5 linked regions of the Xenopus tropicalis genome follow. The protein of the gene in region 1 purifies or fractionates together with the protein of each later gene. This does not show direct contact. Links are inferred from orthologs where the notes say so. Each region holds a gene or a part of one and is shown in the gene's direction. Other genes may lie near its edges.

Region 1 (5,684 bases):
CTATGCAGTAGGCATGAGTCACACTCAAGTGGAAGACCAATGAAAAAGATCAGTATATATGGTGCTTAGGGCAAGAATAAGATAGCTCTAAATTATACTTTACATGTGTGTTCTCTGTTCTGGTAGGTTTTCAATATCTTTAATAAGGCCACCTTTCCATCCTACACAGAAGCACAATTTAAGTACAGAGTACCATCAGACTCAGTGTCTCAACATCTCTTGACAATATTAAAGATGTTTGTGCCACCCATCCATGTGTCTATCCAATCTGTTCCTGATGGTTCAGGTTAGGTGCCTGACCTAAAGTGAACCTTAAACACAATAGCAAAACAGTTATATAATGGTTCTTGACACAGTGATGATATACAGTCATTATTACAATGTCTGACTTAGGGCCCTTCACCTCTAGTAAATTACACACCCACTGGGTTACTAACGCCAATATATGTCCTCAGTATAGAGTGTTGCTACAGAACCTCATCTTAGATTTCAAGCTCTCAGCATGGATCTGGATGGAGCCTACACACTCCCAGATGTGCAAACACTCCTCTCTGACTCTGCCTGGCACTAGGGACATTCCTACTACGTAAATGCTCCTAGACTGGATCTACATTACATACTGGAGCTACCCTAAACTCTCCCCTCTTCACCAGGGACAACTTAGCTCATCAGATAAGTCCCCTACGCCTCTATCTTTTTAGGAGCGAGTGTTTTTGCTGTCCAGCACTGTGGAATGTGTTGACACTTTATAAATGAGTGCTAATAATACTTTGTCTTAGAGCACTGTGATAGAGGCACTTTGGGGTAACCTAAGTTACAATATTTCTACACTGGCGTTCTTATGAGGTGGCTGTGGCCAATTTTCTGTCCCAGCAGTGATATAATGTAAAATATACAGCACAAACTGACTTCTTACCTTTGTGCATTGTACAAAATTTGTGTTATGTTATTCAGAAAATGATAAAGTATAAAAAAGTTAAAAAGTATATATATATATATATATATATATATATATAACTGAACAGTAGAAAGCACTCACAGCTACAGCATCAATCAGGTCAGTGATTTATTTCAGCATACCATCTACGCGTTTCATCCTGATGACGATCCTGTGGTGATCGAAACGCGTAGATGGTATGCTGAAACTTTCTACTGTTGAGTTTGATGCATTATTTCTGTCAGCACCCAGCCTGTGCCCCATACTGGTGAGTGCCGAATCTTTACAACTCTCTCTCTCTCTACCTCGCATTAACAAAAAAAAAAAAGACGGAAAAGAGACTTTAATACATACTTTATTATAAAACAAACGTTAAACATTGAACGAGAGTATGTAAAGCTGCTGTAACTAACTTGCAGCAAATTCAGGGTTTCTTTGAAAATGCAACTCCCGCCCTCAAAATCGACTTCGCGGTATTGTTTATAGCAGAAAGTCAGCCAATCGCTGATTCCAAGGGGCCAAACACTGCAAGACACGTGTTTATAGCTCATCACGTGTCAATACCTAACTTCTGGGAAGTTCATTCTTCTTCATCATTGAGAAGGGCAAAACCCCTGTATCTCAGTGAGGGTCGCTTCGCTTCAGTTTACACGCCATGTATCATTATAGTTCTGCGAGTTATAATAAGAAAACTATAGCCCACCTTAGTTTCTTTGCAAGCCATACCCGCCAATAGGTAATATGGAATTGACCGATGGGTCGTACCATTATCTCAAACGAGGGGAATGTTATATTAGCTGGTACTTAAAATAGCGATAGCCATTTACTAAGGGTAACATAGACGTTTAACATAACCCCTCAACTGTAACGGTACATGGATATCCTCGCTCGATTGTTTTTAACAACGTACGATTTGGAAGAAACTGTCCATTTCCTGCTTTTCTTTTCGCAAAGGATTATGGTATAAACTTTTGGGCGAGACCTTTCTGTATTTACAGGGGTGTATTGGTAGACTGGGAAGTTATAGCGTTTATTTTATGTCTTCGTTGATTATTCTGTTGTTGTTATTATTAAGAAGTTACACAAGTCTGAGCTTCCCTTAAGGGCCTCTTAGATATATGTTGCCTGTATGGAGTAAATGCTTGCCTGTTTGTTTCCGCACCCCCCCCCCCTAGGATGTTGTTGAGTCGCTTGCTGGAATCTCGCGGTGTGTGAGAGCGGCAGTGGGAAGTCCGTTCCAGATTTCGCCAGTCTTTCCCTTTAGAGACGCTTCGTGCCTACACTTCGCTCCCTTTGTTTTCTTTAGCTCGTGTATCATGTCTGTAGCTTTCGCGGCTCCCAGGCAGCGGGGGAAGGGGGAGATCACTCCTGCGGCCATTCAAAAGGTAACCGCGCCGATATTAAAAAATACGTTCAATGCAACTGCTTAGTCGTGCCCTTCTGCCGGGAGGGAATTCCCCCAACTGCACTGGTGTAGTGCTTTCTAAGGCTGGGGGGCAGTGTACGGGGGTGGGGAGTCCTTACTGTTCTACTTAAATGCTATCGATTAATAAATGGCAAAGTGCCACAAACATATTGTATGTGCCTGGGTTTAACCATAGACAAGGTATCTGGAGCTTTTATCATCAGTTATATTACCAAGGAAGGTCACTGTAGGTGTAAGGACAAAAAAAGGCACATAAACGTGTCAGCAGAGCCAAATTGGTGAGCCATTTTATCTGTACTGTATCTGGGCCACTGGGGATTAACAGCCACCCTAAAGAGGTTCATTAAAGATCATTAAAATCTGTTCTAAGCAACTTTTCAATGTACGTTTGTTACAGTTTTTCAGTGCATTATTCTTCGATGCAAATACTATCGAACACAATATCTCCAATGTCTCCGTACTGTTTGTTCCGACTACTGAAACAAATTAGAAGATGCAGCTAATTAACAGACTTAGAAAAAAAAAAAAGTGCAAGACATTGTTGAAATTGAAATCTAGCTTCTGCAACATTGTATGAGAAATCAGAGCCAGCAGTAAAGATGGCCATGCACGTAGTGAAATGCTTTTCAGTACATTTGGGGGCTTATGGTCCCGACAGATATTTATGTACTGTGGATATTGGTCATTTTGTGTCAGACAGGTTTGGAAATGTATCTGCAAATACAGCATATTACATTACATTAACATTTATTTATAAAGCGCCAACATATTCCGCAGCGCTGTACAATAAGTGGGTTACATACATGGACATACAGAGTAACATATAAAGCAATCAATAACCGATACAAGAGGTGAAGAGGGCCCTGCCCAAAAGAGCTTACAATCTACAAGGAGAAAGGGTTGAGACACAAGCATATCAGCAGGTGCGGGATGTACGTGCTGATGAGGAGGAAAAGTAAAATGGAGTTATGTCCTGAACAGAATAATAGGCTGCCCTAATGTGTTTGGCCCCTTGTATCAGGGGGATACTGTGTTGATTCAACCATGTATGGCTGCTGTAAAAGTGGGAAGAACAGCAAAGGACAGGCTGTTATTGCATTCAGTTGTAATTATTTTTAAGAAATCAGTTTAAAATTATCAATATTTATAATCTGGCTAAAATTCTATTTTAAGTAGGCAAAAGGTTACTTTTGTTTTTTGGCTCCCTTGTTCATAGCTGTTGGTTTTGAACCAGAGTTTTTGTTTGTGACTGGTACTTTGTTTGCATTGACTCCTACAAAATTTCACTCTCATATTGGAATAACACTATTGCACAGGAACCCCTTTATACAGTGTTTGTGTCTGAGTGAGCAGCCATGATGGCTTTTAGCTGTAGGCCCAGGCCATTAAAGGCCACTACACTTCACAGTTCTCCAGGTATATCTGTAAGTACTGTTTCATGTAGTAGATATTCTATGAAGTCGTTGTCACAGAGAAATATGTAAAATAAATATATTCTGATTCTTGTGCTTGGCATTTCATATGATACTGTTAATTTTTAGTTACATTTGTGTTTCTAACTGTACAGGGTAAATATATATATATATATATATATATATATATATATATATATATACATATTTTTCAAGATTATCAAAGCTAAATGGCTATGAATATTTTGGATAGCTTCAAAAATTCTACAGTGCTGTCTCCCCCCTCAGTGCAGCACAATGTACCTTTCTGCCGCATGATTCCTATGGTTGTCCTGTATGTTCCTGCTGAGAGCTTGACATGGCTATACAAGGTTCTGAGAGGCTAGAGACCTTGCTTTTTCATTTATTTTTGTAAAATATAGTGTGCATTGTTGGTGCTATAAAATTAAGCAACGATATGCAGTTAGGTCAGTACTCCAGCATGTAAGAGATTAGCTTTGTCCCTTGCCCATACACATAAGGGGAAACATGCTTTAACTAAGGAAATCATAAGTGGGTTACATTCTTGTGTTTTTGACCACCATAACCTAAGTCTTTCATTGCACAAGAACATGGCAGTGTCACTTTCATTGGTATCACTAATCAAAGGCTGCCAATAGTTCTTATGCACAGGGTTTCTTTATTGGTTCTAAAGCACATTATTTTTAAAGGAGAAGGAAAGGCTAATAAAGAGTTAATCTCAAGCTGCAGGCATACATTCAGTTCTCTAAATAGTGCCCTTAAGTCTCCCCATATTTCACCTGTTAGATGATCAGAAGCCAAACAGGAAGAAAAAACACTGAGCTGTGTAAAGAAAGTTCCCATTATGCCTCACTCCTGCACAGACACCCAGACCAAGTGAACATGCTCAGTTAGTAAGAGTATGAGTGAGCTTCCTGCTGATTGGCTCAGATCCACATTCTTAAGGGAGGAGTGAGTTCTTAGCATACTTGAAGGAGGGGGGAGCAGGAGAGAGGAGACAGCAGAGAGCTGTGTGTCTCTGGCATATGAATTACAGACACAAGAAATCTTTTGACAGAGAAGTCAGTGCAGCATTTCTTTGAGTGCTTATGGCTGTATTTACATAGACCTTTCTGATAAAGCTTACTTAGTTTTTACCTTTCTTTCTCCTTTTAAGTAGATAAATTATGACTCTTTGGCCTATTGCACATTGGGTGTATACTAAGCTAACCCTTTTTTGGCAGTGTATTTTCTGGCGATTAGTATCTGTGAAAAAGTAGCTGCTACTAGAAGCTCCATGTGTCTTCACCCTAAGGGAATTTGCCAGTCACCACTAGTGACATGAATGGAAGGTGAACTAATTGGCATCCAAAAGGTGAACAAAGTGCATCTGGATGTTGGAAGTGTTGAAATGATGCCAAAGCACTATTTAACATTCTCATTTTGACACTAACCTTAATCTTGTATATTAATTTTGTAGTACAGAATGCTTTTTAACTGATCAGTCAGTTATTTTTCAAATTTTTTTTTTTTTTTTAATTTTCAGATGCTGGATGAAAATAACCATCTAATACAATGCATAATGGATTATCAGAACAAAGGAAAAACCTCAGAATGTTCCCAGTATGTATAATATAATTCTCTCTTTCACAGTGTGGCACTAAATTGTTTATACCTATATAGAGGTCTCTGTACTTTGACAGTAGGTTGTTTTTGAAATTTTGTATATGGTTACTAATACTTATAACAATATCATGTTTTCATATACAGGTATAGGACCTGTTATCCAGAATGCTCGGGACCCGGGGCATTCCAGATAAGGGATCTTTCCGTAATTTCGATCTTAATGCCTTATGTCTGCTAAAAAATCATTTAAACGTCATTTAAACCCAATAGGATTGTTTTGCCT
Region 2 (4,960 bases), on another chromosome or scaffold:
ACTATACATAAATCTACACTGTATAAAATACACACATTTAAATTGTAAATTATGTCCTTAAAAAGTGGTGGTTAGCAATGCCATCAGTTAGAATTGTTGCTTAGTAAAAATCATGAGTGTCACATGACTCACTGAAACTTTTGTATTATAACAAATAATTTACCCACTGATATTTGAAGTCATTGCAGCATTACATAACCTGTAGAAAAGCCTTATACAGTAAACCATACTACTAATACATAGGGCGTTTAATGGCCTACAACTTTTCATATAATATATCAAGGTTGGAGCAAATAAGTCTTGGCAGTGTCTTGTAGTAGCGTATTACAGGAAACAGCAAAATTATTTTCTGCAGTATATAGAAAGGAAGACTGGGTGAAATATAAACTGTTCTTTGCTGCTTTTTCTTTACCAATGTAAAGCGTTTCCCTTTTCACTGTTTAAAAAGCTTGAGGTACACCTAGTGATGTTTCAGCTTACTGCTTGCTGTAGTTCTTCTGTGGCTGGTACTTTTTTATCCTAAAAAATGGGCAAACTTTAGGCAAAATTTAAAATTCAATAATGTTTGTTTCATTTGACCAATAGAAGTGACCGCTCTTTCTTTTCTTGCAGTTGACATGGACGAAGAAGATGGCCGGTGTTTGTTAGATGTGATATGGTGAGTAGTCAACATAAAGAAAAATCTTCAGCACACCACTTACATACATGTTCTCAGAGGGTGCTTAACTTCCACGGCCGCTCCCAAGCCTTTTCTCCATGTAGCTTTGCAAAGGGAAAGAAGCACACCAGTTGTGTCGGCAATGCCTTTAAATCATTTATTTGCAGAAATGAGCAAAACAGCACAAGCTTTCGGGGGTGACCCCTTCCTCAGGTGCAATAAGTATTGCACCTGAGGAAGGGGTCACCCCCGAAAGCTTGTGCTGTTTTGCTCATTTCTGCAAATAAATGATTTAAAGGCATTGCCGACACAACTGGTGTGCTTCTTTCCCTTTGCAAAGCTATATGGTGAGTAGTCCCTTCATACATCTTACATGATTTGAGATTTTAACTTGTGGGTAAAACTAAGTAAAGTAATACAAATAGTAGGCAGTCTTGCACATGAAACATTTATTTGGTGCACACACCAATCATAGATTTTTCCAAAATTCAGAAAAATTAACCATACCAAATGGAGATAGCTACCTCAGTGCTCCATGGTCCCTGAACTCCACCCTTCTAATGGAAAATGTGTTGTGGTGTTGCATCTAACAAACACACCAAATATCAGGATTTTTTTGTTCTTTCTTACATTTAAGGACTCGTACCACAGTTTAAAATTTATGTTATAGAGCTGACAAAAATCAGGTAATTTGTTTCTGTATGTATACAATAAGGTGTTGTTGCTTGTCCTACAGTTCAGTAGAACTATCTAATGCATAATGTACTACAAGTGAGGATCCTAAAGCTGACAAGCTTAGATGCTAAAAAGTTAATATAACTGAATTTATGATTTAATCAGCAATTTGTTTTGTTTTTTTTTTTTGTTTGTTTTCACTTCAGTGACCCCCAGGCTCTGAATGACTTCTTACATGGACCTGATCAGGTGAGTAACTGAAAGCAAAAGGCAAACACTAGTGGACCCTTAGGGCTAAACTCCAGGGGAGATTTGTATGATGGCGTAGGATTGACAAAACGTATCCTACAAGTTGGATGTAGTTGCATAGGTTAAAATGTAATGGAACTGATACAAAAATCTGATGTGTAAACTACATGAAAGAATTGCTATCTAACATGACATGCTTGTTGGAAGGGAATACTGCATGCTGCATCTTCATCTGATGAGATAAAATCTGATGGTGTCTGACGGACTTTTTTTTTCCTCATTGACATACATTGTTGGATGTAGCATGAACAAAACATTTTAACTGACTTAACATTACAGCCTATGAGGATCAGATAAAATCTGACCCACAAAATCGAAATCTCCTGTGGAGTTTAGCCCTTATGGCTGATGACCCATAGAGCGAGTTAGTCATCTGCAATAGATCTCTGCTACTGCGGGTGACTTACCTCTAGAAATGCCTTTCCACTGGCAACAATAGGAGTCGCAAGTGGAAAGGCCTTTGGCTTTCTGGAGTTGCCTGCAGGGTTCTATCACGGGCGACTAACTCGCTCCATGGCCCATCAGCCTAAAGGTGGATGTGGCTGGAACAAGAGACAATTTCTTTCATTGTAGCCTTTGGATATCTGATTAAATAGGGGCAGATTAGTCAAAATGTGAGATTAGAGCTCACCACAGAAAAATTTACCCACTTTTTATTTATTCTCATGGGATTTTTATAAGTATATATATCAAATACTGGTCTCTAAAGTTCACCCTTTAATAAATAAGGGATCTTTCTATAAGTATCTTTCTGTAATTTTTATAATCTCCCTACCTTAACTACACTAAAAAAATCATTTAAACCCAATGGGATTGTTTTGCTGCCTAAAAAGGTTAATTATATCTTAGCTAGGATCAATTACAAGGTACAGAGAAAAAGAAAATAATTTTTAAAAATGGGAATTATTTGATTAAAATAAGGTCTATGGGAGATTGCCTTCCCATAATTCAGAGCTTTCTGGATTACTGGTTTCATATTATTATGTAAATAGTAATATGAGCCATAGTTAGACTGAGCTGACTAACTAGTTTGCTTTTTTTCTGCAAAAATATCAGAGTTATTTGTAATCATGGTATTTGTTCTTTTCTCTAGATTGGAGGAGATGACCTCTTGGATAACACAGGAGATGCTGCAAGTGCCTTCTTTGTGGGCACTGGGGTAATTAACTTTTTCATATGTTTAATTTAATTAAAAAGTACTAGAAATTTACTGGCACTTGTTTGGTCAGTGGTTCTCCACTATATTTTTGTCTAAGCTTTGCACGGGTTTATCACCGGACATATTTAAATATTATTACAAGATATAATACATTTAGTTATTTTCAGGATGTTACAAGGGGTTCACATAGCAGTGAAAAAAATATTTGGTGTTGAAGCAAATTTTTTGAATGATACTTGTGTAACTTTAGGCTGCCTGTCCTGTCAGTGCAGACTTATTGAAACCTTTTAGAGTCTTCTTTTGTCCTGTCAGGTCTTGATAGGTCTTAAACTCTAATACAAAACTAGTTCCAGTGTGTTTTGTGAGCAATTATTCCTAAAATTGGGCCTTTCCCATTAAGTGTCCCCCCCCCCCCCCTCAATTTAATTAAATTAATAAATGGCTGAGTTATCAAAGCATTTTGAATCCTTCTTACAGCTGCCCTTTATCTACACTGGCAGGATGTCTTCCACCATGTCACCCTTAGATCATAGAGCATAGATCATGTACATTTCATATTTACTGCATTATATATCTCAGGTTTAAAGTGACAATAATATACTGAAACTATTTTTTTCTTAAATGGTTTTTATCCGTTTTTTTTTTTTGTTACAGCTTCACGTTCAGGAAGCTCCCGGAAACCATCTAACAACAGAATCTAACCCTCCCACAGCAAGTGTAGATTTAGACTTTTTGGAGGATGATGACATTCTTGGGTCCCCTTCAGCTGGCAGTGCTAGCCTTGCCAGTGCTGATCAGCCCTGTGACATCCTTCAGCAGAGCCTGCAGGAGGCTAACATTACAGAACAGACTCTGGAAGCTGAGGCAGAATTGGACTTGGGCTCCTTCCAGCTTCCCACCCTACAGCCGGTGGTGCAGGCCGCCCCGGATGGAACCCCCCAGATATTTTCTGGAGGAGCTGACCTTATCGGGCTGCAACAGCCAGCAGTGTTGACCCATCAAGCCCTGGTACAACAGTCTGTAGGGGCAGATGTGGTCAACAAAGCTATCAGTGTCCAACCTTTTCTTCAGCAAGTCGGCCTTGGCAATGTTACTATTCAGCCAATCTCAAACCTCCCAGGACTACCAAATGGCAGCCCTGGTGGGGCGCTTGGCATTGGGCAGATACAAGTGGTTGGACAGCAGGTCATGGCCATTAACCAACCTGCACAACAGCTTATTGCCAAGCAGGTGCAACCAACTCAAGTTGCTAACTTACCTGTGGGCAGCTACTTGGCAGGGACAAATACAGAGCAACAGCAAGTCACACTTACATCAAGTGGAGTATCACCACAGAACACAGGATTAGTCTTGCAGAACAAAATCCCAGCAGTGGCCACAACGCTTAATGGGAATTCTATGTTTGGTAGTGTGTCTGCAGCACAGTGTACTCAGTCCCTCACAGTTACATCTAGCTTAAACAGCCCGGTTATTATTCAGCGAACTCCAACTCCTATTCAGCCAAAACCTGCTGGAGTCCTGCCACAGAAACTGTTCCAGATATCACCCAAACCTTTTAATCCAAACAATGCTACACTTACCATTCAGGGAGAGGCTGCACTGCAACAGCCAAAGACTCAGCAGAATTTGGCTTTTATGACAGGTAAGCCAGGACCAAATGTGGTGCTGTCCGGCTTTCCCCAGGGACTTCCCACAAATATGTTTAAGCAGCCACCTTCACAGCAGCAGGCACTTGGCAAGCCAATGAGTGTTCAGCTTCTAAACCAAGGCAGCAGTATTGTCATACCTGCCCAGCATGCCCAAGCTATGTTGCAGGGGCAAAACCAGTTTCTTCTGCCTGGCCAGCTTGCAGGGGCATCAGCCGTCCAACCACTTTCTGCCCTCCAGGCCAATATGGGAGGCCAGATCCTTGCTGCCTCCCATCCTGGTGGACAAGCTCACATCATTGCCAGCCAGGGCCCAGGAGGCCAGCTACTCAACCAGGCACTGCCTGCCCAAATTCTTACTAACCAGAATATTGCTAGCCAGTTGAACTTGGGACAGGTCCTCGCATCCCAAAATGCACATGGCACAGCTCACATCTTGTCAGGGCCAATTCAGCTGCAAGCTGGACAGGTTGGCCAACCCACCTTATTTCAAATGCCAGTGTCTTTGGCTGG
Region 3 (4,889 bases), on another chromosome or scaffold:
GAGCATCTCCCTCTCCACTTCTAACCTGCCAAGCTAATTTCTCTTTTCCAACCTCCAAAACACCTCCACTATACACCACCAGAACTTCTCAATCCCTTCACCTCCCACATCTCAGTCCTTGCTACGCACCTCCAGAACACCTTAGTTATCCTTTCTATACTCCTCCAAACAACCCAGTCCTTTCTATTTACCTCTAAAACTTCCCAGTCCCTTCTATACACCTCTAGAATATCTCAGTCCCTTCTACACACCTAAAGAACATATCAGCCAGTGCTATAAACCCCCAGGACTTCCCGGTTCCTTCTATACACCTCTAGAATATCTATAAACCTTAAGAACATATCAGCCTCTGGTATAAACTCCCAAGACTTCTCAGTTCCTTCTATGCACCTCCAGAACACCTCAATCCATTCTATATACCTCTAGAACATATATGTCTCTTCTCTATACCTCCAGAACATCTTGGCCCCTTCTATATGCCTTAAGAACATATAAGTCCCTGCTATAAAGCGCCATAACTTTTCAGTTCATTCTTTTTACCCCACAACATCTTAGTCCCTTTTATAAACCCCCAGAACATCTTAATTCCTTCTATACACCTCCAGAACATCTCAGTCCCTACTATACTCCCCCAGAACATCTCAATTCCTTCTATACTCCCCTAGAACATCTCAATTCTTTCTATACACCTCCAGAACGTCTCAGTCCCTACTATACTCCCCTAGAACATCTCAATTCCTTCTATACACCTCCAGAACATCTCAGTCCCTGCTATACTCCCCCACAACATCTCAATTCCTTCTATACACCCCCAGAACATCTCAGTCCCTACTATACAACCCCAGAACATCATAATTCCTTCTATACACCTCCAGAACATCTCAGTCCCTACTATACACCCCCAGAACATCTCAATTGCTTCTATACACCTCCAGAACATCCCAGTCCCTACTATACTCCCCCAGAACATCTCAGTCCCTACTATACTCCCCCAGAACATCTCAGTCCCTACTATACACCCCCAGAACATCTCAATTCCTTCTATACACCTCCAGAACATCTCAGTCCCTACTATACTCCCCCAGAACATCTCAGTCCCTACTATACTGCCCCAGAACATCTCAATTCCTTCTATACACCTCCAGAACATCTCAGTCCCTACTATACTCCCCCAGAACATCTCAGTCCCTACTATACACCCCCAGAACATCTCAATTCCTTCTATACACCTCCAGAACATCTCAGTCCCTACTATACTCCCCCAGAACATCTCAGTCCTTGGTATAAACCTCCCTGCAGAACATCTAATTACTTGCAATAAACTTAGAGACCACCTTATTCCTTGCTGAAAACCTGCAGAGCACATTTCTCCTTACTATAAACCCCCTGCTAATATCTCTGTCCCACCCAAATGATCCCCTTCTGCAGGAGAAGCCTGGGGCCCAGACTCCCACAGACCAACAGAAGCGCAGAGCACAGAGGCGCAGGAAGAGCCAGGCTCTGCTAATGATGGAGATCAATGGTGAGAGAAGTGCTGGGATTGGGCAGCTCAGAATGGGAATGGTCACATGTTACTGGGTAAATGCCACCTGGGCAGGTGCTTTATTGGCCTTTTTCTTCTACCACCATTTACATTTCTGTAAATTATTATTTAGGATACACGTGTGCCAGTAAGTCAGGGAATCATGTGACATCACTAAGTGCCAGTTAGAAGTGATGACATCACTAAGGATTATTTATGAGGAAGTAATTTACAGGGTATTTATTGGTTAATATAAAAGCATAACGGGTGCCTCTGTGCCAATTAGATGACAGCAATAACAGTTCCTTCTCGGATGCCTCTGGGGCGAGGGGCGAGGGAAGCGACAGCCCAAGTCGGACCCCCGAACTGAGCCGCAATGTCAGTCCCTGCCCCTCATCCAAGCCAAAGACTGAGGACTTCCAGCCCCCTGAGTTGGGCCAAGAAGGGGGTAAGAACCATAGAGATGACTTCTGGGTGGGGCTGAGGGGCAGAATAGGGACAGGGTGGGACTGATTGGTTTATTTGTATGTACAGATGGTGCCCCCCTGCTCCCCATCAGAACAGATGAACCCCCAATGTTAACCAAAGAGGAGCCGGTGGCTGAAACCCCTGCAGCCCAGGTGAGTGACATGTTGGGACCTTGGGTGGCACTGAGGGGCTTCCAACTGAATCTACAGCTGATTGGAGGGTTGCCTGGCAGTCGTTATGTGGCACTTAGTGTCCTACTAGGGATTCAATAGAATCTTAAATTCTCCCTTCCCCCCAGGTACCCAGCGCTGCCGCCATGTTCCCGCCTCTGACAGAGGAGGAGGAGTCTCTGGACGCCCCGGCACTAAAGAGATTCTGTACAGACCGAGACATAATGGGCAGATAATCCTCACAGGCTGGCGGCCATCTTACTACTCCTCTCGCATCTTTTCCCGCCTTCTATTCTCTCCACAAAACCAGCTTTTCCCTGTGGAAAGATGAACAAGTGCGTCTGACTGTAACCCGGAAAGTGACCCCGGGACCCCGAGCCCCCATAACAGTGAATTCCATCGCCTGTAGAGAATCAGTCCTGTTGGCCATTTTGTTTCGCTTCATGCCCCAAGCTCCAATGGCTGCCGCTCTCTCTGGGGGTTGCGACTGCTGCACAATTGTATCACTGCAGCCTCTGGTATCCACCATTATATACTCCTCTTGTGGGGAGTGTCATGTTGCCAGGACACGCCCCTCTCTTACACCCTAGCAACCAGGCTGCAGTTTCAAATCCAAAGCGGAGAAATGCAGAAAAATGTATAAAATATACAATTTTCCAATTTATATTTGTCTTTCTGTACGAAGTATAAATGTCAGTATTATATATTATAATATCCATGTCATGCTGATGGAATCTGCAGCGCTATATAAATATATACTTACACCAATACATTTAATTCTACTGACAGACTGCGCTCCTGGGCCCTGGCACTTGTGGCCCCTGATTGGCCGGATTTTGCCCTTATACACAGTGGCGTTTTATAAGGAGAATCTCCCAACCGTTGTCATACATTCTTTTGCACTTCCAAATCCAACCACCAGATGTCGCACCTTAGTGTATGGATAGGAATGAGTAAAAAGCAAAGGAAGCATCGCCATCTAATGGACGAAAGTGGAAATACATCTATTGGGCGATTTCTCATTATTAGCGTTGTTGCTGCATGTTTATTCACTTGTAAATGTAAAGTCCCTTTATCTCTCCAATATATAAAATACCCAGAAACCCTCCCGGGACTCTACTCTATTTTGTCTAGACAGCTGCCCCAGGATTGAGCATGTGTCTCAACCCCTTCTCCTTGTAGAGTGTAAGCTCTTTTGGGCAGGGCTCCCTTCCCCTCTTGTATCGGTTACTGATTGCTTTATATGTTACTCCTTGTAGAGTGTAAGCTCTTTTGGGCAGGGCTCTCTTCCCCTCCTGTATCGGTTATTGATTGCTTTATATGTTACTCCTTGTAGAGTGTAAGCTCTTTTGGGCAGGGCTCCCTTCCCCTCCTGTATCGGTTACTGATTGCTTTATATGTTACTCCTTGTAGAGTGTAAGCTCTTTTGGACAGGGCTCCCTTCCCCTCTTGTATCGGTTACTGATTGCTTTATATGTTACTCTGTATGCCCAATGTATGGAACCCACTTATTGTACAGCGCTGCGGGGTATGTTGGCGCTTTATAAATAAATGTTAATAATAATAATGTTGCAGACTACACCAATTCCCAAGCAGCCATGGCTCATGTATCTAAACTAATTACTAATGAGCTCTGAGCAGCGAATTGGCTTTGCATCTGTGTAGATAATAAGTAATAAAGTGGTCGGGTAACACTGTCCAATCAGGGGTTGCACCATAAAACCGGGCAAATGTTAAATACATTTATTCCCATTCATTCCTAATAATGCAGGGCAGCCCTGGGCACTGCAGGGTTAAACTGGGAACAAATTAAACACATTGGGTTCATTTTCTGTCTTTTTATTTGTTACAAAATAATCGATTTCCAGTGAAAAGTCGAATCTTTATCACGTACAAAACAGTATAAAACAATGGGTGCAACAGGGAGCCGGTCCCACCCACAAGGAACAGGGATGAGCCAAAGGGCATCGTTGTATGGAATTGCCCACAGATCTGGGGAAACTGGGCTGAAGAGCTGACAATCAGATTGCATGTGAGTGGGGATGAGAAACTATCATTGTCGATTACCGATCCCCCCCCCGCAGGCCCAGTGTGGGGGTCTGTGCAATTCAATCTGTAGGGAAAGAAAACAAATGATCAGGGAATGTTCCATCTCATCCCTCCTCTTATCTAGATTCGGTATTTGGCACAACCCCGAAACCTTCATGAAAGTTTCAGCCGAATCCGAATCTGCATCCGATAATAGTGGATTCAGTGCATCCCTAGTTACGACCCCATCATAGACTTCACACTGCTTATTGTCAGTCTAAATATTAGGGGCCCCTGTGCCTGTATGCGGGGGCCACAGTAAGGATTTCTTTAGCGGGATGAACCCTACTGTTTATTAGTAGCAAACTGGGTAACGTTTCGGGGGTATGCCCCTTCCTCAGACATCTGCCGCATAGTGATATGCCAAACAGTGGCATGCTGGGAAAATGTAAAAACAAAAACAAAAACACCCCCTGCTTTTTCCAAAAAGGGCCCCAGAGTATCATTAATGTGACTTGTACTGTCCCTACAGTGACGGGTTGTAGCAGGAAATGTGTGCGCACACTGCCACCTGGTGGTGAAGTTTGATTATTGCAGATAAGGGAATTCCTTACCAGGCCGGCGAGCAAAATGCTGGGCAAGAACCGCCACTGGATTGACCCAGACATAAAATATTCCATATATCGCTTCCCTGTACTCCT
Region 4 (4,165 bases), on another chromosome or scaffold:
GTTACTACTATTGCTTACAGTATTCGAGGGCAGCTCAGCTGGCATCAGAAGACATATGCATTCAGGTAAGTGTTGTGGAAGCATGAACTAAAAATTCTGCTGTTTTATACTAGTAAATAAAGATATAAGAAAGAATACTTATTATGGCATGCTTACTGTAAATTAAAGCCAAACCTTATTACTACTCAGAATATTTCTTCCATTAGTGACTGAGAACTATCATAATGCCCACATCTAGCAGTTATTTTAGGGTTTTTTGTATAGAACAAAAGGACAAGGTACAAAATGTTCATATACAGAAGGTTCTATTGATTTTTATGACTTGGAAAATTATTACCATCCAGAATTAGTATCACAATAGGCTTTCTTTACATAGATAAAATATGCAATATGATTTACATTTCCTTAACTGTCCTGTCTTCAAGAATATCTTTAGAAGAAGTTGCTTTTTATTATGATTCTTTTATTAGTTTTCAAATAATAAGTAGTGTTTGTTTGCAAAAGGTATGAAAGGGAATTTTAAAAATGCATGGCTTTCTTATGCATTCAGTACCAACACTTTTGCCACCTTTTGTAGCTGCTTTAAGTCTTTTGGGATTAAGTACTAGCTTTATTCACTTATTAGTGATTTGGGCCATTCTTGCAGGCAGATTTGCTTTAGGTTATTTAGGTAAATCAGATGACTCTTTGGCACTTAAACAGATCCTTGTGTGCCTCTACCTTTATAGTTAAGGTGGCCATACATGGTGAGATCCTCACCAAACAAGCAAGCAAATCTTCTCCCTATACCGGGGTAATTCGGGGTACTCAAATTAGAACGGCGGGTATATGCGCTTTTGGTTCAGGGACCACATCAACAAACCAATGCGGTCCATGATCCGATGGAAAAATCAAACCTGTCCGATCGAGATCTGCCCAATTTCAGGCCAGATGTGGGTAGGGCAGGTCTATTGTTCCTGCCCATACACGGGGCGATTCTAGGTGGACTGATAATGGTCCTTTAGACCGATTTAGCAGCTACAGTGGAAGAATCGGAAGAATCTGCTGTGTTTAAAGGAACAGTAACACCAAAAAATGAAAGTATTTTAAAGTAATTGAAATATAACATACTGTTGCCCTGCACTGGTAAAACTCGTGTGTTTGCTTCAGGAACACTACTTTAATTTATATAAATAGGCTGCTGTGTAGCCACGGGGGCAGCAATTCAAGCTGAAAAAAGAAGAAAAGGCACAGGTTACATAGCAGATAACAGATAAGACACCATTGTATTCTACAGGGTTTATTTGTTAGCTGTGCCTTTTCTTCTTTTGAATGGCTGCCCCCATGGCTACACACCAGGGTTTATATCAACTCTAGTAATGTTTCTGAAGCAAACACACAATTTTTACCAGTGCAGGGCAGCAGTACATTATAGTTTAATTTCTTTAAAATATATACATTTTTTGGTGTTACTGTTCCTTTAAGACAGGACTGCTGCTATTTCAAGAAAAGGGATGGAGACCATTTAATGACACTGGTCTATGCAAGTGTACAATAAGTGAGTAAAGATTAGTGATTTTTTCTTTAATTTAAATTCCTATAGCATATTCCCCCTTTTTACCAAACATTACCTATTTTTTTCAAGACGCATAAAAACTTGTGTCCATTTAATTTCATTATTGCAAATAAAAAAAAAAATTGCATGTTGTCTTTCTGTATCTGTTTCCTTTGTTCCCTAGCGCTAAGTTGCATAGCTAGAAGGCTTCTCTTGTTATTCATTTGGATCAGTTTAACATTTTCTGAGTATGTAAACCTTTATCTGACGTGGCTCTTTTATCAGAGTCACAATTAATGTTCTGATATCCTGTACTTCACACACAAACAAATGTTTTTCCTCCTCATCAGCCACTCCAGCTGTGTCTTCTGCTTAGTGCTGGTTATGAGATAGTCATGAAAAAAAGGGTCTGCTTTTAACTGACTTTAAAATGAAATTTGTTTTGCTTGCCAACTGTATAATTCTAGGGCAAATGTTTAGTACTTATAGGATTTCCCAATGTGGCTATGAAACTTTGTGCCTTTCTATATGGTTTCTATGCTTTTAAAACTCCCATTAATAGTCATGTCCTTCTCACATTATTTTCTTGTTTCAGTGAAAACCCACTGCCGACAGTAGAGATTGCTATTCGAAATACAGGCGATGCTGACCAGTGGTGCCCCCTCCTGGAGACCCTCACTGATGCCGAAATGGAGAAGAAGATCCGGGACCAGGACCGGAACACCAGGTGCCACCGCCGTTTCATACGCTTTTCCTTCCGGGCTTCCCGCCGGGGTAGAATATAGACAACAAGGTGGAACTTCCTCGGAGCATCTGCGAGGAAAACTTTCCAGCTTATGCGCACCAGCCTATGACGTGATGTGTCTTTATCTGTGTCTGTGCTGTCGTTGCTTCAGCCGATGGAGCTGCACTTTTAATCGTTATCGCACTTTGCAAGTGATGTGTTGGTATTTAATCTGACTTTAGCTGGTGGGATTGGACATTTCTCCCAGTGCTCGCCTTTAGCTTAGTAGCACCATCTGTTGCCAATTTTGCCAGTTTTTGTCTTTTTAGGAAATTCTCTCTTTTTATTCTTTTAGCCCTAATTGGCCTTAGTGCCCAATGTACTTATATAGCTCTCCAAATTTCTGCTCCCTTGTCTCACATTGAGATAAACTTGACATTCTCCAGTATTCTTTTCTGCCAGTGGAACATGCAAAACACTTCATTTAAGATCCCAACAGCCGTAGGGTATATCCCTATTTAAAACAAGTGGCCACAGCAGAACCATGTATGTTAATTAGCAGCTTGAATTCCATAGGTAGCTTTAGTGTTCTTTATATTGTCCAGCAATATCTAAAATCTGGTGCCAAAACAATTGTTGTTGTCTTGTTAAACTAGATAGAATTTTGCTTTATATGGTAAGCTTAATAAGTATACCTTTACCTGTAGAGAATAGTTATGCTGATGCATGTTTCAGGCCAAATATTTCCCTATTTTATGCAGAGTTGGTGGCTTTATGAAATACATATTTGCAGTATTATTGTAAGTTTGTGACATTTCTTCTCCACTGCATATGACAGTGTAGCTGCAGTATTATTGTTTCCTTGGAGGGTAAGGAACACTGTACAGGTTGGAAGAATATTCCACGTTGGGGTGATTATTTAAAAAGTTATTTGAACCCACCAGAACTGGCAATGAAAACTTCTGTCTATGTATTTTGTTGGCTTTATTAATTGATAAGAGAGCCAATCCCAAAGAATAGTTCTACACAGTTCTATGTATTAAATGTCATCCGCACTTTATTTTGTAATTTGTTTATGGCCTTTGCTTTTAAATAACTTTTGGACTGCCCAAGTCCTGTAACACCATTCAGAGTAATGCGGGACATACTCTGGGTAGGCTGAATTCTGCACTTTTTGGTACACAGTCTCTTTTAAAGGGTGAAGTTATGTGTTTAGTGGGCTTGACGCTAACAATTAATAATGTTTGTCATGTCTGTTCCTGACCTTTGTTGTCTTGTGAATAATTAGCCTATTTTTAGATACAGATTTTAATGAGGTGTTGTCACCAGTTAGTATTTTCTTTGCTGACATTAGCAAAATAGATATTAATAACGCAATTTACATGGACTAGATTTTCAACAGTATCCCAGTATTGTCTTTCATTATTGTCATGTTTATTCAGACAAGGTTTCTTTAAATGTCATAGTGAAGTTAGTCTGTTTTTAAACAATGGCTTTCCTTAACAGTTTAGGCTTTTTGTGCTTAGGCATTTGAATCATTGGATACCAGTGATAGGAATGATCATTTCAATATGTAGTGCCAAAATTCTATAAGATGATACCTACATTGTGAAACTATACCACAAATACTAAAAGTGTTGCAGCTTATTCTAAGTTTGTTTTTTTTCCAGACCCTTATATTTATCTTGAGCTGTGCTCATGTGGTTATGTGACATATAGTACCAATCATGGCTGATTTTAAGTAGGAGTGTGTAACTCTCTATTTAAGGTTAGCATTGAGTCTGCAGTAGCTCGCATTTACACTAACAGGCCATAAATCCTTAATTGGTGCTTTTTGCAAAGAAGGGTACTATAATTTGTTCCACTTTTATATACAAAACTTATATACGAAATGTGTGTTAAAGGGT
Region 5 (4,960 bases), on another chromosome or scaffold:
TAACATTTATTTATAAAGCACCAACATATTCCGCAGCGCTGTACAATAAGTGGGTTTCATACATTGGACATACAGAGTAACATATAAAGCAATCAATAACCGATACAAGAGGTGAAGAGCTTCCAAAAGAGCTTACAATCTACAAGGGATGCACCAAACCCTGTTTTTTGGGTTCAGCTGAACCCTGAATCCATGGTGAGGGATTCGGCTGAATTTCGGTTCATTCATATGCCTGCTGTAGGGCCCTCTATCACAACTGCACAATTCCCGCCTGCACCCCCTTACAGGTGATCGTGTCCCCCCCCCCCCCCCGAGCTGTTTGTAACTTCTGACAGCAGCCGCTGTGCGGCTTATAAAGAACGTTTGGCTCTGTGCTCATTGTGGCTAGAGAACAACAGAGCCGAACATTCCTTGTAAGCAGCATAACGGCTGCTGTCAAGTTACGAACAGCTCTCAGGGGGAAGCAGGACAGAACGGCTCTTGCAGGGGAAGCAGGGTACGGCACATCGGTGGGCAGGCAAGGTGGGGGAAGCAGGACACAACAGCTCTTGCAGGGCATTAGCATATGCTAATTGGGATTCGGTTCAGCCAGGACCGTTGATTCGGCCGAATTCGAATCCATCCGAAAAAGGCCTAATCCTGGCCGAATACCGAACCGAATCCTGGATTTGGTGCATCCCTAGTAGTTACAGGGCAATGTGTATTAGAGCGGTCCCCTTCTCTCCCTGTCTGACTGACCAGGGCCTTAGCTGTTAGGGCTAAGAGACATGGAGCTACTTAGTAGCAGCTACTTGTCAACGGCCTAAAAATGCCAGAAAATACCCTGCCACGGACAATACTCAGAGCAAAGCTGACCCGGGGACTGGTCTGATTGTCATATTGGAATAAAGAAGGATTTTTCCCCTCTGGTTTCACCTGTAGAAAAATGTGTGTGTTTGGTGTTTTGTTTTTGTTTTTTACCTCATCTGCTATGTTATTACGTTAATACTTTAGACCAGTCAACAGGCTACAGCATATAGTCATATTGGTGCTCCACAGGCGTTAGGAGACTCTTTACTGACTGCTTTATGAATCCCTCAAAACTGGTTAATAAGACCCATACTTATTATTCTTTTCAAAGTAATTATTTCCTTTTAAAGTAATTAATCTGAAAGATAAAAGTTTTATTGACAAGACCTCTAGAAAAAAAAAATGGTATGCTTATTGGATATTTCATCCTGGGGTTTAAGGGGAACTGCCGTTAAAATGAATGATAATGACATCCCTGACATTTTCCATTTTAGCGCTGAATTTTATCAGCAAGATGTGGGCTCAGCTTAATATAAGCTGACGGGAGGGAGAAGAGCCGAAGCTAATTTAATGAAATTCTGTATTGAGATGAAATATTTCCAATAGAAGCTGTCAGATCCTTTCTGTGCCATTTAATGAAGTTCAGGAAGAAGGGCCTATCTGTTTCTGTTATAATAAGATGCAGAAAGGCCATTTAAAGCAGTTGGAGACAGGGAACTGTTAAACTACAGCGGCTGTTTTCTGACCATATTGGTGCTTCTAACAAAACCTGTTCTCTGTTGGGGAACTTGGTTTGAGTGGACAAGCATAAGAAATACAATATTTGCAGTGCTCTTAGTTAATTATATATATTAAATTATAAGTGACTATTTATTTGGTAGATCTGGATGAGGCGCTTGTTTAAATACCAGAAAGATTTACTAGTGGGGAAGTGTCATTGTTAATTGAGCTTAACTTTTTAAGGCGGTATAAAAGGGATAGTGAAACATTGCAGTTTTAACAGCAGCATGGGAATAAGCCTATATCAACCTTATCACCCTGTTTAAAGTGGAACATCTTTCTGTCCCTTTAAATTCATGGGGATGCAGAATAACAAGCTACCTGAGCCAGACCGCAGCTGTGAAGGATCAGAGGGTAAATATGGAGGCAATACATTGCACACAATGATCCACTATTGCTTTAAAATAGACAAAAATAATTGTGCGTTTTTTTTTCTTTTTAAATTGATAGAATGACCCACTGGTATGTTAAAAAGGTATTAAGGTCATTAACACTAGAAAGGCCCTAAAAGCATTTATATACAGTATTCACTTAGTTTGTGCTCAGTAATTGTGTCTCCATTTCTAGAAACCATGATATATGTGTGTTTCATAATACCTGTACTTGTTCTGGTAGGGCTTTTGGGGCAGCTCATAAGTATTTATTATCTAAGTTTCCATTCAATACAATTGACCTGGCAGTGCTTTGTTTAGAGAACAGATAAAAGATGTCTAAACAAAGCAGAGCTCAAAACAAATGTGCTGAAATAAACCAGGTCTATGTATCGGGAGAAATAATGCTATGGTAATTTCATTATTTTAATGTTACTGGCCTTTTAAATAACAGGTTCTTGTGTGGATGAAAACGATTATTCTATGACTTCATACACTTACACGGGATTGTAATAGTAATTCTTAAGTTTGACAATAGCAACCAGTCAGTCTGTTTCAAACTGACAGCCAGTAAATGCTAGTGGCTGATTTGTTGCTGTGTGTTATCTCTCTCTAAAGCTGGCCTACATGGGCAGATCCGCTTGCCTGGCGATGTCGGCAAGCGAGCGGATCTTCACCCGATATCCCCACCTACAGGTGGCGATATCGGGGAGGCATGTAGGTGAATTCGATCGTTCGGCCCTGGGGCAGTTTGGCCCAATGGGGCAGTCGGTTTGGGGACCGCATCAACGAGCCGATTTGGTCCCCGATCCGACTGGATTTTCTAACCTGGCCGATCGATATCTGGCCAATTTCAGGCCAGATATCGGTCGGCCAGGCCCCTCGGTTCTGCCCCTACACGGGCCAATAAGCTGCCGAATCGGTCCAAGGATCCAATATCGGCAGCTATAATCGACCCGTGTATGGGGACCCTTACACTGCAGGTTGCTGTATAGTATATTTACAGAATGAGTACTTTTTAAGGGGTGTTTGTTTTTTTTTTGCAGGCGGCACTTTCTAAATATGATGCTACCAAACAGAAGAGAAAGTTCTCATCTTTTTTTAAGTCACTAGTTATTGAGCTGGATAAAGACCTGTATGGGCCGGATAACCACCTGGTGGAGGTGAGCACTGTGAACTTGCTGAAAGCCAGCAAAATATTTAGCAAACAAGGCTGCTTTACCATTGAATAAGACACAGTATGTTTGATAACCATTGATTGTGATCAATACAAGGAGTGTTGCCATTTTAAGGAGAAGCTTTTGGTAAAAACTCCATCATTGCTATAAAATATTTTCATTTAGTCTAGCTTTTTTTTTGACCATTTTAATTAAAGAAAGGCAAAGGAAGTACAGCCTTTGGGTTATCTAAACTTTAAAGTTCTTGTTTTGGATTGCCCCTGTGCAAACCAGCACATGCTCCACTGACCAGTCACAGGGGTTTTTCTCCCCCACTGCTTTCAGCAATCGAAGAGAAAGGCAGTGCCTGAATCACACATACTGCTGGAAGGTGTACCTCCACTCAGTAAAGTGCATGCATGGCTTGTTTCCTATCTGTTACCTTGGGAACTATGGACAGGTGGATAGGGATTTTTGTTTTTTTGTATGCAGCGGTTTTCGTCCTTGGTGGTGTCATCAGCAGCCAAAATAGCCTTTGATATTGGCCTTATAGAGCTTTTCTTTTACAGATCAAAAATATGAGTGAGCATTGAAATGAATAGGAAATCAGTCAATTTTTCTTTGCATTTTGTGACATTTTAAACATTGTAAACTACCAATATATTGATTTTGACAGTCTTTACATTATTTGTTTGTATAGAGTTACACTAAGTTACTGTAATATTTTCATTCTTAGTGGCACAGAACTCCTACAACACAGGAGACTGATGGTTTTCAGGTGAAGCGCCCTGGGGATATGAACGTGCGCTGCACCGTGTTACTGATGCTTGACTATCAGGTGTGTTCTTTGTGTGTACTATTTGAAGAATATTTCTGTGAATGCAGCGATGAAAGACAAATTCCTATCACAGACTGTGTGTTTGAGTTCTGTGTGTGTTTTTTAACTGTAGCCACCACAATTTAAACTTGATCCCCGACTGGCTCGCCTCCTTGGGATTCACACTCAGACTCGTCCAGTCATCATTCAAGCTCTTTGGCAGTACATTAAGACTCACAAACTTCAAGACCCTCATGAACGGGAGTTTATTATATGTGACAAGTATCTGCAGCAGGTAAGTGCCTATTTCCAATGAAATACCACTAATACAAAAAGTAAACAAAGCCCTGCTTTAAACCGTTTACGCTCGAAAAGCCTAATATCTGATTGTAACTGTAAGTTTGTGCCCTACTTGTTTAAGTGTTTCTGTTGTTCCCATTATGTTCTCCACATACAGCATACATAGTTCCATTGTATTGAAAAAAGACCAGAGTCCATCAAGTTCAACCCTTCCAATTAAACCCAGCACACACAACCTATACTGACCTATCTATACACTCACAGTTGTTAATTATGCAAATACTGCAATACTAGGAAAAGTTCTCCAGTTCTTTAGTGTATGTTTGGCATGTGGTAAAAGCGGATTATTTGATGCAAGTAATTTCTGGTGCAAAATAGACTACAGGCTCTATCTGCTTCAGGTTATTATGTTTGTCTGTATGGGAGCTACCCAAATGCTTAGAGACTCTACAGTGTACAGTAGTATTTTAATGAGCAAACCATAAGCTAAAGTATAGATGGAGAACATAATAAGCTCTCTGGGAATAAAATTGGGATGCTGATAGCCAGTACAGGTTATCAGGTAATAAAGCATGTTTCATATTAATAAGAGTTATCAGTCCTGGTTGGCTTTATGCTGGTCATATTTTTTGGAATATCTTACTAGATGACCCACAGGGTAGGCTGTTGTATACATTATGGTTCACACCTGTATAGCTACATCTTTCTAATCAAATTGTTCTGATTCCCTAAGTGGACACCCATGC

Evidence for each region. Proteins that work in one complex are often made in the same cells at the same time.
Region 2: the proteins of ss18 (region 1) and bicra purify together in Homo sapiens (affinity purification with mass spectrometry; 3 studies listed by BioGRID and IntAct, counting the BioPlex papers as one, with this or other methods). This does not show direct contact. The link is inferred for Xenopus tropicalis from reciprocal best matches to the Homo sapiens genes SS18 and BICRA.
Region 3: the proteins of ss18 (region 1) and bcl7c purify together in Homo sapiens (affinity purification with mass spectrometry; 3 studies listed by BioGRID and IntAct, counting the BioPlex papers as one, with this or other methods). This does not show direct contact. The link is inferred for Xenopus tropicalis from reciprocal best matches to the Homo sapiens genes SS18 and BCL7C.
Region 4: the proteins of ss18 (region 1) and smarcb1 purify together in Homo sapiens (affinity purification with mass spectrometry; 9 studies listed by BioGRID and IntAct, counting the BioPlex papers as one, with this or other methods). This does not show direct contact. The link is inferred for Xenopus tropicalis from reciprocal best matches to the Homo sapiens genes SS18 and SMARCB1.
Region 5: the proteins of ss18 (region 1) and smarcd1 purify together in Homo sapiens (affinity purification with mass spectrometry; 5 studies listed by BioGRID and IntAct, counting the BioPlex papers as one, with this or other methods). This does not show direct contact. The link is inferred for Xenopus tropicalis from reciprocal best matches to the Homo sapiens genes SS18 and SMARCD1.

What each region holds. Positions count from the first base shown.
Region 1 is NC_030682.2:110,346,420-110,352,103, reverse strand, and holds the start of ss18 (protein SSXT), read left to right. Parts: upstream 1-2,253; coding exon 2,254-2,322; intron 2,323-5,321; coding exon 5,322-5,398; intron 5,399-5,684. UniProt on the Homo sapiens protein: Appears to function synergistically with RBM14 as a transcriptional coactivator. Isoform 1 and isoform 2 function in nuclear receptor coactivation. Isoform 1 and isoform 2 function in general transcriptional coactivation.
Region 2 is NC_030684.2:79,853,659-79,858,618, reverse strand, and holds part of bicra (glioma tumor suppressor candidate region gene 1 protein), read left to right. Parts: intron 1-612; 5' UTR 613-617; coding exon 618-658; intron 659-1,539; coding exon 1,540-1,582; intron 1,583-2,735; coding exon 2,736-2,801; intron 2,802-3,455; coding exon 3,456-4,960. UniProt on the Homo sapiens protein: Component of SWI/SNF chromatin remodeling subcomplex GBAF that carries out key enzymatic activities, changing chromatin structure by altering DNA-histone contacts within a nucleosome in an ATP-dependent manner.
Region 3 is NC_030685.2:5,705,213-5,710,101, reverse strand, and holds the end of bcl7c (B-cell CLL/lymphoma 7 protein family member C), read left to right. Parts: intron 1-1,428; coding exon 1,429-1,522; intron 1,523-1,808; coding exon 1,809-1,970; intron 1,971-2,056; coding exon 2,057-2,142; intron 2,143-2,288; coding exon 2,289-2,396; 3' UTR 2,397-3,978; downstream 3,979-4,889. UniProt on the Homo sapiens protein: May play an anti-apoptotic role.
Region 4 is NC_030677.2:153,150,962-153,155,126, reverse strand, and holds part of smarcb1 (SWI/SNF-related matrix-associated actin-dependent regulator of chromatin subfamily B member 1), read left to right. Parts: coding exon 1-65; intron 66-2,129; coding exon 2,130-2,261; intron 2,262-4,165.
Region 5 is NC_030678.2:148,807,423-148,812,382, forward strand, and holds part of smarcd1 (SWI/SNF-related matrix-associated actin-dependent regulator of chromatin subfamily D member 1), read left to right. Parts: intron 1-2,986; coding exon 2,987-3,103; intron 3,104-3,833; coding exon 3,834-3,935; intron 3,936-4,047; coding exon 4,048-4,209; intron 4,210-4,960. UniProt on the Homo sapiens protein: Involved in transcriptional activation and repression of select genes by chromatin remodeling (alteration of DNA-nucleosome topology).